Schizosaccharomyces pombe: one gene and its partners. The gene in region 3 interacts genetically with the main gene of each other region. Each region holds a gene or a part of one and is shown on either strand. Other genes may lie near its edges.

What was found. Genes that interact genetically often act in the same process or in processes that back each other up.
Region 1: mutations in bmt5 (region 3) and hrp3 together harm fitness more than expected from each alone (negative genetic interaction), as found in Schizosaccharomyces pombe (2 studies listed by BioGRID).
Region 2: mutations in bmt5 (region 3) and png2 together harm fitness more than expected from each alone (negative genetic interaction), as found in Schizosaccharomyces pombe (2 studies listed by BioGRID).

What each region holds. Positions count from the first base shown.
Region 1 is NC_003424.3:5,375,791-5,383,438, reverse strand, and holds hrp3 (CHD family chromatin remodeller Hrp3), read right to left. Parts: upstream 5,616-7,648; 5' UTR 5,513-5,615; exon of another isoform or gene 5,024-5,512; intron 5,018-5,023; 5' UTR 5,013-5,017; coding exon 4,821-5,012; intron 4,764-4,820; coding exon 789-4,763; 3' UTR 526-788; downstream 1-525. Other genes in the region: proteasome receptor/ubiquitin ligase adaptor Dss1, read right to left, coding at 1-127, 168-209, 316-346; U1 snRNP-associated protein Prp40, read right to left, coding at 5,740-7,648.
Region 2 is NC_003423.3:1,120,057-1,123,747, forward strand, and holds png2 (chromatin modification family protein Png2), read right to left. Parts: upstream 1,906-3,691; 5' UTR 1,894-1,905; coding exon 1,842-1,893; exon of another isoform or gene 1,802-1,841; coding exon 1,730-1,801; exon of another isoform or gene 1,683-1,729; coding exon 889-1,682; 3' UTR 605-888; intron 549-604; 3' UTR 526-548; downstream 1-525. Other genes in the region: Cu chaperone Atx1, read right to left, coding at 50-125; GTPase-binding protein Rid1, read left to right, coding at 2,772-3,190, 3,329-3,476, 3,545-3,691.
Region 3 is NC_003421.2:2,235,512-2,239,166, forward strand, and holds bmt5 (rRNA (uridine-N3-)-methyltransferase Bmt5), read right to left. Parts: upstream 1,647-3,655; 5' UTR 1,613-1,646; coding exon 1,126-1,612; exon of another isoform or gene 1,003-1,125; coding exon 641-1,002; 3' UTR 550-640; downstream 1-549. Other genes in the region: erm2 (aminopeptidase), read right to left, coding at 1-468; transcription factor TFIIIB complex subunit Bdp1, read right to left, coding at 2,036-2,277, 2,322-2,469, 2,508-3,157, 3,208-3,655.

The DNA of each region.
Region 1 (7,648 bases), on a different chromosome or scaffold from region 3:
CCCTTCTTTTTTAACTCTGCTTGTAATTGAACAGAAAAATCATCGTCTCCAATGTCCTCATCGTCCCAATTGTTTTCCCATAGCGTATCATCTCCAGTATCAAGCTCTGTATCTTTCATAGGCCAATCTTTTTGATGTTAAATAATTATTTCTTTAAAAGTACTTACTTTCTGTTGCGAAATCTTCAAACTCATCATCATCCTCAAGGTCTAAGCATTATGTTAGTAAACGTCTTTAGGCCAACGAAAAAATCATAGACATTAGCATATCGAATAAATAGTACTCGAAAGCCACTCTAAATAATTTGTAACGTACTTTCTAAGCTTGGTAAGGCCGCACGAGACATTCTAATTTATAAACGTGATTTGGTGTGAAAGGTGAACCCTGCCGTACTGTGATGTTTGAATGAACTTTTCACTGGTAACGATGTCTACTGAGTTACACTATTATATTTACAAACTGCATAAAGTTGCAGACTAATAAATAGCAGTTTGCCATTGATATTTCAATTAAAAACAAATTGTATTACTGGATTATTCTTATCTATGCTGACTCTATGTTCTGAATACCGGAGGATTTCCTAAAGTCAAGATTTGAAATGCAGGGTTTATTAACATTATAATTAAAGGTACAATAAGAAACGATTTTTAGACTAGAATTTAGTGATCTTTGAAATGTAGCAATCAAAATTGAAGACTGTAAAAGATAAACATATTCGAGCTTCAAACCTAAAATATTCCGGATGAAAAATGAAGAAACAAATTGGCTTTTGTATGACAGGCTAAAATCTACTTCATCTTTTCATACATGCTGATCAAGCTGGTATATTTAACCTCCTCCTTCGGCCAAAAGTAACATGCAAACATCCATAAATTCTTCCTAACAGTAGCTTTTTCTTCGGAGGGTGTATCATTGACAGTTTTTTCAATATGCTTTCCAATCGTTGTCAAACACTCAGTAAGTAACTTCACCAACTCCGCGCGTCCAAGCCCACTAGAATCTTTCCGAAGTCTTTTCATATGCTTACGGACTGGATACATCAGTTCTTTGCAGCGTGCCTTTTGTTCAGCATTTAGACTTACATTACCATCGTCTTTTTCAGATTTGACGGGTGAAGCTGTCTGGCTGCGAGACTGTTCCCTACTAGGTGTTTCAATCTTCGTGTCTTTAGAAGAAGGTTTCTTACGAGATTCTGAAATTGCAGGCGATGGTGTCCTAGTTGCACTCTCTATTTTTTGCGCAGATTTAACGTTAGGCTTGCCACTTTGTCTGCGATTAGCCGTCTGCTTCTTAGGTTGAGTTTTTCCATTAGTACTAATAGCGGGGCTTGATTTTATGCCAAAATTTTGGTGATGCTCACGTAAAGCACTAAGTAGGTATTCACCTCGACGAACCAAATGCACAGCTGAAGGTACCTTTTTCTCTTTATTTTCTTTATCTTTGGGGACAGAGTTGTCTGTTTGTTTTGTGTCTTCTAAAAAGATCTTGTCTTTCATTTTGAGTTCTGGATCATCTCGAATTTCTAACCAAGCTCCAAATCCATGCTTACAAATTCCAGAAAGCAACATGGAATCTTCTCGGGGTCCCCACTGACAGGACCAGCCGTGAACAGATCTAACGTGCATTGGAATTTGGAAGTTAGAATATCCTGACGTTGGCATAGCATCATAAAGAATATCAAGATCATTTAGCCTTTGTACCAATGTTTCAGCATTTATATTTTTTACACCTTTAAATGTAATGAGCAGCGCTTTACGAGATGACTTATTATTAGACTGATCATTAGATAAGTCCTTCTCGGCTGCTGATACAGCCTTGCGTGAAGCGGTTACTAAGTCAGCTGCAATCTTTTTTATTACGTGAGCATCTTGCGTAGTAAGATCAGCATATTTAACAATGTCATTGTAGCGATGCTCAAGGCTTCCATATCTAATCATAGCACGATAAAGCAACCGAATTTCCTTTTCCAGTAAAACCTCATCTTTAAGCATTTGCTTTTTGCTCTTCCTTTCAGAAGTTCCAGAGTAGGATGGGGATTCCACCGCAGAGCTAGGATAAGGACGATTACCTCGTCTACTACTAAGCTCAATTTCTTGCTTAAGCGCTTCTTCCTCTTCTCTTAAGCGGTCTTCCTCTTCAAACTTCTCACGTTCAGTTAGGGGTATAATATCATCCCAAGATACATCTGCCTTATAGTCTGTAACTTCGAACTGTTTCAAAAACTCTTCACCACCCATGCTGGCTCCACCCACATCATTGGAAGTATCATGATCTTCGGCATGTTCCAAAATTTCATCTAAATTCATATCCTCAAGCTTCTTTTGATTATTCTCTGCTTTAAACATATTAGAAGCTCCAAATTTCAAAATAGCGCTAAGCTCTTCAGCAGAAAATTTATCATTTTTGGAATTCTTTTGCTTGTCTGTAACACCTAATGAAATAATTGCATATTCAAGAATCATTTTACGACGTGCACGTTCCAAGACATCTTCTTCAATCGTATCTTTGGAAAGAAGCCTGTATACCATAACATGATTTTTCTGACCAATGCGATGCGCACGTGCCATAGCTTGTAAATCAGCTTGAGGGTTCCAATCGGAATCAAAAATAATAACTGTATCAGCAGTCATTAAATTAATACCTAATCCTCCAGCTCGTGTGGATAATAAAAACACAAAATCTGGGCTGTTTGGTGCATTAAAATGATCTATTGAAGTTCTTCGTACAGCAGCAGGGACAGTGCCATCCAGTCTCTGATGTGGATATCCCCTCAAAGAAAGATAATCACCAAGAATGTCAAGCATACGAACCATTTGACTAAAAATTAAAACGCGGTGGCCGTCTCGACGAAGACGTGATAGAAGTTTGTCAAGTAACACCATTTTCCCGCTGTTCATAATTAAACCTTTTAAGACTTCATCTCGTCTTCCTTGAGAGTTTATTTTTTGCATCCATGACTCTTCTACTCCGTCAAATAAGTAAGGATGATTACTTGCCTTTTTCAACTCCACAACTATGTTTAGTAAAGATATTTGACTTCCCGAACTTATGCTTTGAGTAAGGACACGGTAATTGCGAGTTAAAATATTTTTGTACCAGTACATTTGTAAGTCAGAAAGCTCAACACGAAGGATACGTTCAGACTTAGAAGGAAGAGATTTCTCAACGTCTTTCTTTAATCTTCGTAAAATGTAGGGTTGTAAATGCTCCTGTAAACTTCTAATATAAGCTTCCTGCTCCTCATCTGGTGCTTCTAAATTAATTTCCTCACGAATCTCAAACTTTCCTGGCATCAGGAAGTCTACCAAAGCCGCAAGCTCACGAATATTATTTTGTAATGGTGTTCCAGTTATAAGTAATCGATTTGAGTTCTTGAACTGAGAAAGTGCTTCATAAAGTGACGATTCACTGTTTTTTAATCGATGAGCTTCGTCAATTGCCATATATTGCCATTTTATATTACTAAGCACCGAGCGATCTTTGAGTACATACTCATAAGTAGTTAGAAGCAAGTTGAACTTTATTTTCTGAGTTCCATCAACATAAAATTCGTAATCCCTTATTACTTGCCTTGAGGTGGTATTTCCAAGGTAACTTATACAATTCATATCAGAAGCCCAAAGAGCTAATGTCTCTTGCCAGGCAGGAACTGTAGAAAGTGGAACAACTACAAGAAAAGGTCCATGCTGTCTTAAAGAATGTGCAAGATATGAAAGAAAAGCCACAGTTTGGACTGTCTTACCGAGACCCATTTCATCGGCCAAAATCCCATTTTCATTTTTATGCCAAAGATATGCCATCCAGTTGACGCCTGTAAGCTGAAAGTCACGAAGCTCACCACCGGTTATATACGAAGGCTGTTGCTCCAGTTTTCGATACTTAGGACGCGAATTACCATAGTTTGTACCTCTTGATGGACTAAGAGCACTTTCTTCTCTTTCTTGAAATGCCTGAATTTCCGTGGCAGCAATAGGCTCAATAATTGAGGAAGCTTCCCATGTGCAAAAATCATATAACAGCTGCTTCCATTTCACTAAGTATTCAACTGAGCCATCGGAGTTTAAGTGTTTGGCAACAATTCTGTCTACCTGCTTATATTCCTCGTAATTTTCACGCTTTCTCTCTTTTTCAATATCCATTGCTTCAATGTCTTCACGCGTAGTGGTCGGATCTTCTCGAATTTCTCGATCAAGAAGTATGACTTGCTTAATGTGATTGTCGACCTTTTTAGATCCTCTGATCATAGAAATGTTATTGTAAGGTTCCCATGTACAATGAAGATGAGAAAAATTAACCCATTTAATTAAAAACTCATAATCTTCAGAAGGTGTAGAGCCATCGTGTCCTTCAATAAGTCTATGATCTAAAACGACATCTATAGCTCGTGTATCTTCAGGTTCTTCAGAAACTTCAGTTGCGTACTCATACATCTCTTCTTCCTCTTCTTCTTCAAACGATTCAAAATACGCGTCTTCGTTATAGTTAACACCTTTACTATTTCTAGAAGAAAATCGAATTTCATCTTGAACGTAGGTGTTTGATTTTTTTTGCCGAGATCGCTTTTTGGGAGTTCCGCCATAAGAACTATCATCTGACTCACTTTCCTCAGAGGTGACAGATTCAGCTTCATCGTCTAAATCGCGAATTGTTCGATGACGAGAAAAAGATGAACCATTTCTAGTACCTTTACGATGCTTGGATGGGAACACATCTTCTTGATCATCAGTGTCTACATATCTTCCTGGATTACTACGAGTGCGACCCTATAATGATTAGCATCTAAGTAAGTTTCATAATGAATAAAATAATGTGAGACATACAGAACGTCGAAGACCGTAAAGCTCTGGGTCGAGCCATTCAGTAGATTGTAATTTGCGCTTGGAGGCTACGCCGCTATTCGAAGGGGATTCGGACATTTCCTGCTTAAGATTAGGGGTTTCAGTTTGAACGTGATCCAGCTGCTCAATAGCCTTAGATGATGACAAAGCAAGTGCTATAGCACTTGTACTCATATCAACTAAAACAGAAGTTAGAACCAATTTCGCAAATTTCTTATTGCAAAACTTTTCCGAAATTGAAATGCTGAATAATTGTGAAATATGTAATAGGCTTCCATCCAACTTCTAGTTAACTGAGAACTGCCAGATGCCACTTTAAATGTGAATATTTATAACTCTTGACTAACGACTATATTTAGACGAGATCCGAACAGATTTAAATAAAGAACACATATTAACTCCCGTATCTTTTCGATAGGAAGCACTATATCGTTCATTTTCGAAGAAAGAGCAATTTTGAATAAAAGGTCGAATGCCACCAAAAAGATTGTATCACAAGAGAAACAAGCAAAACATAATAAGAAAGAAGGTTTTTAAAAAAAGAGAGCTACATTCAGTGCATTGAACAATGTAGGTTTAACAAAAAAATGCGACACGTGGATCATTCACATATTCAGCGTCAAATTCGGAAAACGAACTGTGGCTGCAACAAAATTTAATAAAAATTTACTTACGCGTTATTAAATAGAACGCTTATAGCAGTATTTTGCTATTTTAATAGCAACTTGCTAGTTTTGTTACAAAAACAATTTTTGAGGTACTGGTGGTAGAGGTTCAAATAGCTACAGGCTGTATCCGCTACTAAAGGTAATCAAACTGTATGAATACAAAAAGCGAGTTGAGAGAACATTAAAATGCATGTGTATTAAACGCACTAACAATTAAATTTCTAACTTGAATACTAACGAATTTCACCTTCTTCACTAGATTCTGCATCATCAACAATATTTTTAACAGCCGGTTGTGTAGCGGTAACATGAGAGATTGAATTTTCCTGTACATCCTGCATCGTATTAATTTCATTCCTATTACTTTTTGACGCTAAGTCAGCAGAATATTCCAACCTTCCATCTTCGTATCCGCTATGTGGTCGGGCACTATTCGCTAAATAACTTTCATCTTTACCGACATCATAATAACCTCTTCTGTTTTGGTATTGCTTTTCCAATTCCCGTTTTTCTCGAAGCCGTCTTATATATTTGTCAAAAGCAGCCATCCTGTGTTCCTCGGAATGGAGCGCAGCAAATTCCGGTAGAATAGAAATTAAAGGTCTAATTTCATCGTAAGAAGCATCGGCAGAAATTGGAGGTTTAAGGTATTTAATGGCACTTCTGAGATTATCAATTTTCCTTCGAATGCGTCGTTCATCAGCACGCTTTTCCTCAGCTTTTTTGTGGATCGCTTTATCACGTAATCGATTAACAACTTCTTCAATAAGGTCTTCAGTTACTGCCTCACTTTCCTCTCGATCTTTAAGCTTTTCTGATAACCTTGCTATAATTTCAGGAATATTAGATGTGTCATCCACAGATATTTGCAATACTTCAAGACAGTCCAAAACCAAATTACGCTTTTCCCGATACATATTCTCCAAATCAACGATCGTATCCCAAAATAAATCTAATGGTGTAGAGCCAGATTGCCCTAGTAAGTTAAGATATCTTGGATCATCCTTGATTATGGGATATAATTCTTTCCACTTCGTGCGTAATGTAATCTTCTTTTGCACGCGTAAGTCTTGTAATAGCGCACGAAAGGCATCACGATTTTTCCTTTCTATACGATGCTTTTCTTTCTTCTGCTTTTGTTTGTCAAGAATATATTCGCGTTCCAAATGCTTAACATGATCTTCAAATGCTACAAGAGCATCTAATTTAGAAAGATATTTCATATTTGAATTCCTTGTATACCTTGGATCTTGATCAAATTTTGCTTGCGCAACGCTCCAGCGGGTGTAAGGCTCGAAATTCATGTTTCGCAAAAGCGAACAAAAATCATCCAATGCTTCCTTTCTGCGATCCTTTTCCAACTGCTTTTCATCCTCTAAAAGCTTTTGCTTATATTCAAAAAATAGTTGTTGTTGTTCAGTTTCAGAAGAAGTAGCGTTAAAAGCAGGATGAGAAGAAAATTCATTCTTCACAGTACGCCACAAAGTATAAGAATGAATTTTATCACTACTTTTTAGCATCTCAATAAACTCCTTCCTAATCTTAGTTACTCGGTTCTTTTCTGCATCACTTTGATCGGTCAAATAGTTTAAGATGTACGCATCGAAAGCACATTTCCGATGCCAAGGATCCTTCATGACATAATAGCCCTTAGCATCACAAAGCTCTCGGACAGTCTGCTCCCAAGTCCAGCTTGGGTTGACATTATGAGAGTCTAAAAATTTAAAGAAAGCGCGCTCTGCGGCTTCATAGGTATCATAGTTTTCGTGCTGATAATCATTAGAACGTTTTTGGCGCTTATCCTTTTGTTGAACAAAGTTTATAGTTCGTTTATGACTGCCTTGTGAAATTTGTTGGCTTTGATCTTTAGCTGGTTGACTTGAAGGAGCAGCAACATCCGGACCATGCCGTTGAATGCTTTGAACAGCTGGCTTGTTGTCATTGCTTTTGATTTTAGACGACAAAGCCTTTTTTTGCTGTTCCGGTTCATCAACAAGGGCAGCTTTATATTCATCAGGAATATCCCACACTGATTCACGGGTATTGACATTATACCAATACTTTTTGCCATCAGCGGTGGCATATTCTTTCCAAGCTAGTTTCGAAAGCTTTTTTTCAAAGTCATTCATTAACTCCTCTGGT
Region 2 (3,691 bases), on a different chromosome or scaffold from region 3:
TATAAATGTAAATCTAAATACTTAAAAAATGACTTTTTTTAAAACGCACCCAGACGAGTTAAAACGCGATCGATGGCATTTTTGCAGCCATCACAAGCCATAGCAACGTTAAATTGGTACTTCATTATCAGATGATCAAAAATTCAACGAGATTTGGACAAGAAACTGTTAATTAACTTTTTTGTAACACAAATAAAAACAGTATTTAAAATTCAAGAAAATCCCAATTTTAAGAATTACTTTAGATGAGAAGGAGGGAAACGATAAGTTGGAAAATCCATTAGTAAAAGCATTTAGACGTAATGCAAGGAGGTATCCTTAAAAAAATAACGAGAGAGATATATTTGCTATAGATGTGTGTCAGTAATAATGCACTAAGCTATGATACACTATGTTGTGTATCACTATTTGTCATTACTTTGAATACTATTTAAATTCGCTTTTGAAACATGCATGAAGGAATTTCCATTTATTAACAAGTATGTAAGCTAACAAAACAAATTCAAAGAAAAAATTTAATAAAGTTTGCGCCTAAAATTGCTTCCTTACTTCAATGACTAGTTACTAACAAATTTCTAATAAAAATAATTATAATATTACTTACTCATACATATTGCATCCGCTTTTTGTAGATTGCAAACAAAACACACCGTAGTTTTACATATCATTAAATAGTATACCGAGATACGTAGCTGATGGTTGTATCCTTTAACGAAACCATAAAAATCGTTATAAGGGTTTTATGAGGTATAGAAATGTTGTCGTTAGTTTAATTGATTCAGTAAACAAGAGCAATGCAAGCAGTGGTAATGGATGTTTCATAACGATGTCAAACACTGAGAAATTAACAATAAAAAGAAGGTGAAAGAAAATAAAAAGGATCCCGGCTCATTGACGACTTTCAGATGATTTTGCTAACTCTTCACATTCTTTACAATACCAGATCCCCTTCGGTGGTTCTACTAGACCAACGCAAGGTAAATGGAACCATTCTCTTTTACAATTTTCGTTATCACATCCAATCATTTGTCCATAGGAAACTTGTTGACAGTAACAGTAAAGTTGCTCACCTTCACGGCTGATATCACTTGAATCTAATGTGTCGTGTTTGACAAGTGGTTCCCCATTTGTCTGTTTTAAACGAGATTCTGATCTCCGCACTGGTCGCCTCTCCGTAGATTGCGGCGCATGCTTTGTACTCGATAATGGAGGTGATGATGATTTTCTAGGAACAGCATTTTTTCGACGCTTTGTAGGGGTGTGATAAGAAGATTGCGGCGATGAAGCGTCTTCAAAGTTGTTATATGAAGACGACCGTTCCTGAGAGGAATATTGCTGGGAATGCTGGTTATTTTGATGCCGACGGGTTTCCCGTCTCCTTTCAGAAGTTTGAGGAGTCACAGTAGAATGATAATTCATTAAAGCTCGATCGTCTGGATATCCCAATCTCAATTGTTGGGGAATCTCCAATTCAACATATTCAAACCCAGCATCCAAACGGTCGATACAACTCTTGATATTATTCATTGCGTCTGTGGCCAAACAAATCTTTGAATCAGAATATGGAAGTATCTCTTTTAGTGTCTTTTGTAATCGCTCACATCTTTCTTCTCCTGACAATTCGTCATTTTTCTCGTTTTTTAGAACCACACCAATTTCCTGTATGACATTTTGACGGATATCTAAGATTTTGTTAACCACACGTTTTAAAAATATATATTTCACTTACCTCGTACTTGTGCATCGATCTCTTTCAAACTCGTGAATTTTCCACATACTGATTCAGGGACTGAAACAATGGCTGTAAAATGTTAATCAATGTGTTTATTTTCGCCTCTTACCATCTGTGAAATCATTTAAAGCTGCAAATATTTCAATTCCACTCGTCCCCATGATATTGACACTAAGCACGTTACGTTGTGCTGAGTAGGAAATGTATGTCCCACCTACTTCTCTCACTTTACTACATCCCTACGTGAAATAGCAAAATTGTATGTTTAATCTATTGATAGAAAGAAGTGATTCTATTATAAGCGACGCGTTTTAATGTACCAGAATTCTAGTATAATTTCAGCACTGCTTTGAACTGTAATTTTTAACGACATTATGTTAGTTCAGGTAATATGAGCCTTCTTGTTTAACCATACATTTCCAAATAATCAATTTATTTTAGATATCGGTTCTACTACTCAGTTAGTTGCACCTTCATTATAATAGCAAATTTTGGATGTCCGAAATATTTTTCCTTTTCACAACCTTCAGTGAATTCCAGATAATTGAGAAGTACATATTAAAATTCTTACCCAAAATAGACCGAGATTTACTATATCTTAAAGCTCAATACATTCTTATTTTTCCATTCTTCTCATTTGACTTACATACGATAGTGTATATACCAATATCAAACATTAACTCAACACGCGTAATCTCAAAATTTTGCAAGTTGGATTTACTATGTATAGCTATTAATGAAAATAATGATAGGCGTAAATAGTATGGTTTATTAAATAACGGAAGCTTTCTCTTTTTTTTTTTCGAACATTCATGTGCTATTTTCCTTCCCTAAGTCTAGGGCCATAGCTTAGTATTGTACATATTAAAAATTGGAACAACCGTTCCGCGTATTAGCCTAATTATTGAATTAATTCCCGATATTGTCCGTTTCATGTTCCTGTGGCTTGTTCCTCGGACGCGTCAGCGTGCCATTTTAATATATACCAGCCCTCCCATTTCTATGTAAATATACCACACGACTATTCCTTACACACATTATGAATTCTCTACGTTCAGTAAAACGGCTTTTAGGTGCTCGCTCTTTGAGCTCTGATGGGCTCTCTGAAAGCGTTAATTCTTCTGATCGAGAGGATAGCTTGAGCTTTCAGACTCCTTCAACCCCTTCTGAAGATGAAATGCCACAATGTTTTGAAGATTTAATCAAGCCTCAAGTTCTTTCTTCAGAGGCCTCAAAGAGTTTACTTTCCCTTAATGAAGGAATTAAAATGGAAATCGTGTCCAGTTTACAGCAAAAAGACCAGAAAAAGCGAAATAAATTAATTGCTTGGATGCGTAAAAAACCATGTTACGAGCAACCTGACGACTTTATTTCGTATATTGTAAATACAAAAATTGACTCAATCGATGAATCTATCATACACAAATTAGCTCTACTTCTCAGAAACGAGCAAGTAATGTATGTTTACATTTTGTGCAGCTACGTGAATCAAAGTGGTGATGCTTAAATTATCTTTTTTTTTGGCACTACTATTGTTTTGATTGAATGATAAATCATTCGTTTATTTTGAGGTTTTTCATACTAACTGCAATACAGATGGGTAGAGAAGTTTATACACAACGGCGGTTTCGGTGTAGTATTTTGTACAATCGACAAAATCTCTCGCCTTGAATGGAGAGAGGAACTGCACGATTCTATACTGGAGCAACTTTTACTTTGCGTTAAAGCCATGTGCACTGTTCAGGTATGCATGTGATATACATTTAGACCTATGTCTTCATTGCCTTTGACAATTGCTAACGTTTTTCCTAGCGCGGATTGGAATGTTTATCTCAATCCACTTATAATGTCGAGCGATTGATTTCCCTTTTGCTTTCAAAGAAACAGCCATGTGATTTTGTCGTAAGGGAAGTACTCGTTCAAATAGTTCACTCCTTTTACAAAGCTCATCTCGACAAA
Region 3 (3,655 bases):
ACCATAGCCAGTGGATACAGAATCAAAATGTGCTGACAGGAGTATGGGAAACAAATCCTTCGATTTCCCTTCGAATTTAACAAGAATGTTATCTCCTTCAAAATATGTAAGAGTATCGTTGTCAGTCGATTCGAAAGTAATGTTTGTTAAAGTATCATCGATAACTGTAATATATGATTGATTTGTAGCTTCCAGCTCTCGCATACTTTTTAGTATGTAGGATCGAACATGTTCATTTTGCTTGGAATTATAGGGATGAGGCAAACTTGATATATACTCTAGGTCATTCCAAGCTCGTTGAAACTCCAAATCTTTTAGCAAATTAGGTCCTGGAACTTGGGCAATCCGTTTCCAATCTAATAGATATAAGATAAGCAGTACAGTGAATCCAAAAATCGAGCAGGTTAAACTGGACTGAAAAGCCTTAGCACATATGCGTTCAAATATATGCCGTCTAGAATTTGTCATTACAAGATATAATTCGTAAATAAATTAATTAATTAATGAAGATTTAAAGGAATGTAGATTAATATATGGCGTTGAAAAAAGCACGTTGGTAGTCGATATTGACATCAGCCAATCTCAGTATTACTATATACAGTATCTTCTGCTATTCTCAAATTCACTTAGGATAAAAACCTTAGGAAGAATCACTTGAATCATCGGAGAGCTCACTACGCTTCCTTTTTTCCTTCCTCTGGTTGTAAGGCTTTATATTACTTCCATTCACCACAAAGCAATAATGTCGTGAATCTCGCAATTCACCTTTCCATGGCGATCTCTCGCTGATTCCATCAATCCAACCGATAGTTCTTCTGTGTGAATATTCGGGATAAAAAGAAGAGTCAAACTTTTCAGTCATCAGACTCGTATACCCTGCATCCTTGGCTAAACCTTTCAAATTCCACAAAGTGTAAGGTTTGGTCTCCGCTAAAGTTATTACAATTACGCCTTTTTCTGACAGAAGGAATTTAGATGCTTTAAAAAAGGCAAGAAGCATTTCTAGAATTAATTAGCGATATTCGAGATATGTCTCATTAAAAGTAATAAAAGCTATTATGAACGGCGTTTCCAAATTTATTTTTTAAATTATTTACGAATAAAAAACTTTAACTTCAAACTTACTTTGATTATCCAAAATGTTGCGGTCTTGATCCTTAATTCCTTTCCCCGAGTGAGGAAAATTCCAAAATATAGTATCAAATTTTTGTGTCTTAAGCTTTTTATGCAGATGCAGTTTCGTTGCATCAATTTCATGCATAACCTTTCCCCCATTTATTTCTATTTTTGAGATGTATTCAGCAGCATCTGGATATTTCTGCTTTAAATCTTCTTTAGAGTCATAGCTGGTAGCTAACACAAACCCCTCAGATGATACATGATGTAGCAATAATGAAAAAGCAAACGAAAAGTTGCCTTCTCCCAATAATAGAAATCTATTGTTTTTTTCAAATGGGAGTACATATCGCTCAGTGGGGCCTTTGTTCTTCCCTTTTCCAATTTTGTCGTTTGTTAAAGAATTCTGGCTATTTATACTTGACGAACCAATAGCATTATTTAAATTTCTTTTTTGAAGACGTCTTGCTTCTTTAAAACGAGCCTTTTTCCCCATATGAATGAAAACGATTGTTTTCAATTATTTGGCTAAAGACACTTCACTACTCGTGGATACAAATTTAGGTGTAACCCAATGTTCTCTTACTCGCTTGCTTAATCTTTAAAATAAAAAGCGAGTTAAACGGAATGTAAGAATAAAAATTTTCACGACAAACTAGCAATAAGTAAACTAGTATTTTCTCAATGAACTGTTTTGATATATCCTAATTTAACTCTTGCTTAATATATCTTTAGAAACAAATATACATCAGTTTAGTGAAATATACGATATATATGGTGAAATGTTTGCGACATTAAATAAATAGGTTCAATTAAACTCTATAAGAAAACTTCAAAAAAGATCTAAAGAAAAATTAAAAACAGAAAAAAAAAACAAATAACAAAAATTAATTGATCAAACCACAAAAACAAAACGAAATTAAACCACTTGCCCGACTACCTCGACTCCGTCCTCAAATACATAAGACTTATCGTCGGTTGGAGAAGGCGCATTCTTTTCTTGCTCTAGCTCATGGTTGACGATGAGCTGTCTTTGTTCTGCAACTTCAATTGCGCGACGTCTTTCCTCTTCAAAATTTTCACGAATTTTTTGCAATTCTTTCTCCATTTCTTCAACCGGACGAAACACCTTTCCTGAAACTTTACTATATTCTTCCATATCTAATTTAAATGGTTATTATTTGAGTACTCACACAATGTCTTACCAATAGGTTTTTTAATTTTCAAAGCTTGATTAACACGTGCAGGATTTCTTCTTTCTTCTTGTTTAAACTTTAGTTTTATCTGTCGACGATTACGAGTTGGAAACATATTAGCAATTAAAGCAAAATCAGTTCCCCACTGTGATAGAGCCTGCCATGTCAGTAAATACGAGCGCAATTCCTCCATACCTTATAAAATTTTTCAGTATCCATAGCGTTCCATTTCTCAGGTTTCTGCCTATTTCCCCAAGTAGCACTTGTAACCCGACGACTTAAAGAATTTTCTTCAACGTATTCGCGTTCCTCTGCTGGTACAAAATCACGTTCATGACGGTCGACTTCTAGTGAGGTTTCATCCAGAACAATTTGGCCATTAACAACTCGCGTACGAGGAGTTGCAGAGTAATTGGAGTTGTTATTCAAACCATCAACTTCCATTTTATCTGCTAACTGATCAAGAATAGACTTTGTTGGGTGAGAGAGACTATCTTCGAGAGAAGCAGACTCATCCGTACCCTCTTCTTCCAAACTTCCTACTATTTCTTCTTTCTCTTTCGGTTCGCTTGATTCTAGAAGACTGGCACTCAAAGGCTGTTTGATGGTAGAATCTAAAGACGCTTCTCGACTAGAGCTTGCAGTACTTGCTCCTTGTTTTTTAATCCTCTTTGCTCGTTTTTCCTCAAAAAGCATTTTTTCTAATTCGATAAATCGTTGACTTTTGCGGCCAATTCCAGGATCATCACATAAAGCAGACATTTTGGTTTCACTTATGTTAATGATTTTCTCGTCGGTACCCACGTTTTCCAATATCAATTGACTTTTTCTTTTCAAAGAAGATTCTATGATGTTATTAAATAATGCATTTTAGATTAACCCTTTATTTACGTACCTCTATATGAACGGCGAGACTTTTTTGTAGCCGGAGAATCCGCCTTTCCGTCACTAACAGCACTGAGCTGAGAAAGGGGAATGTTCTCATCAAAAAACAAATCTAATTCCTTCATAAATTGCTGTTCGGCTGAAGAGGATAAATCGGTTTCAGGCGACAAATGCTCAATAGCATTTAACGGCTGCTCAAGAACCGTTGGCTTAGAAATTTTAAAAGTAGGATTTGAATGCAAAAGTTTTTCATTTTGTTTCACTGAATCATCTTTTCTATAGGATGAAGCTGTGGGATTTTCAGTTGCCTCTTTGTGAACTACTGTTTGCACAACCGGACTAGAAATATCAGCATTGGCAGTATCACGAGACAGCTGAGCGGATGTTTCTACTTCGTTTCCTGTGAGGGGTTGATTTTTTTCTTCATGAACAACCTCTTTTTGGTCCGATACTTTCTC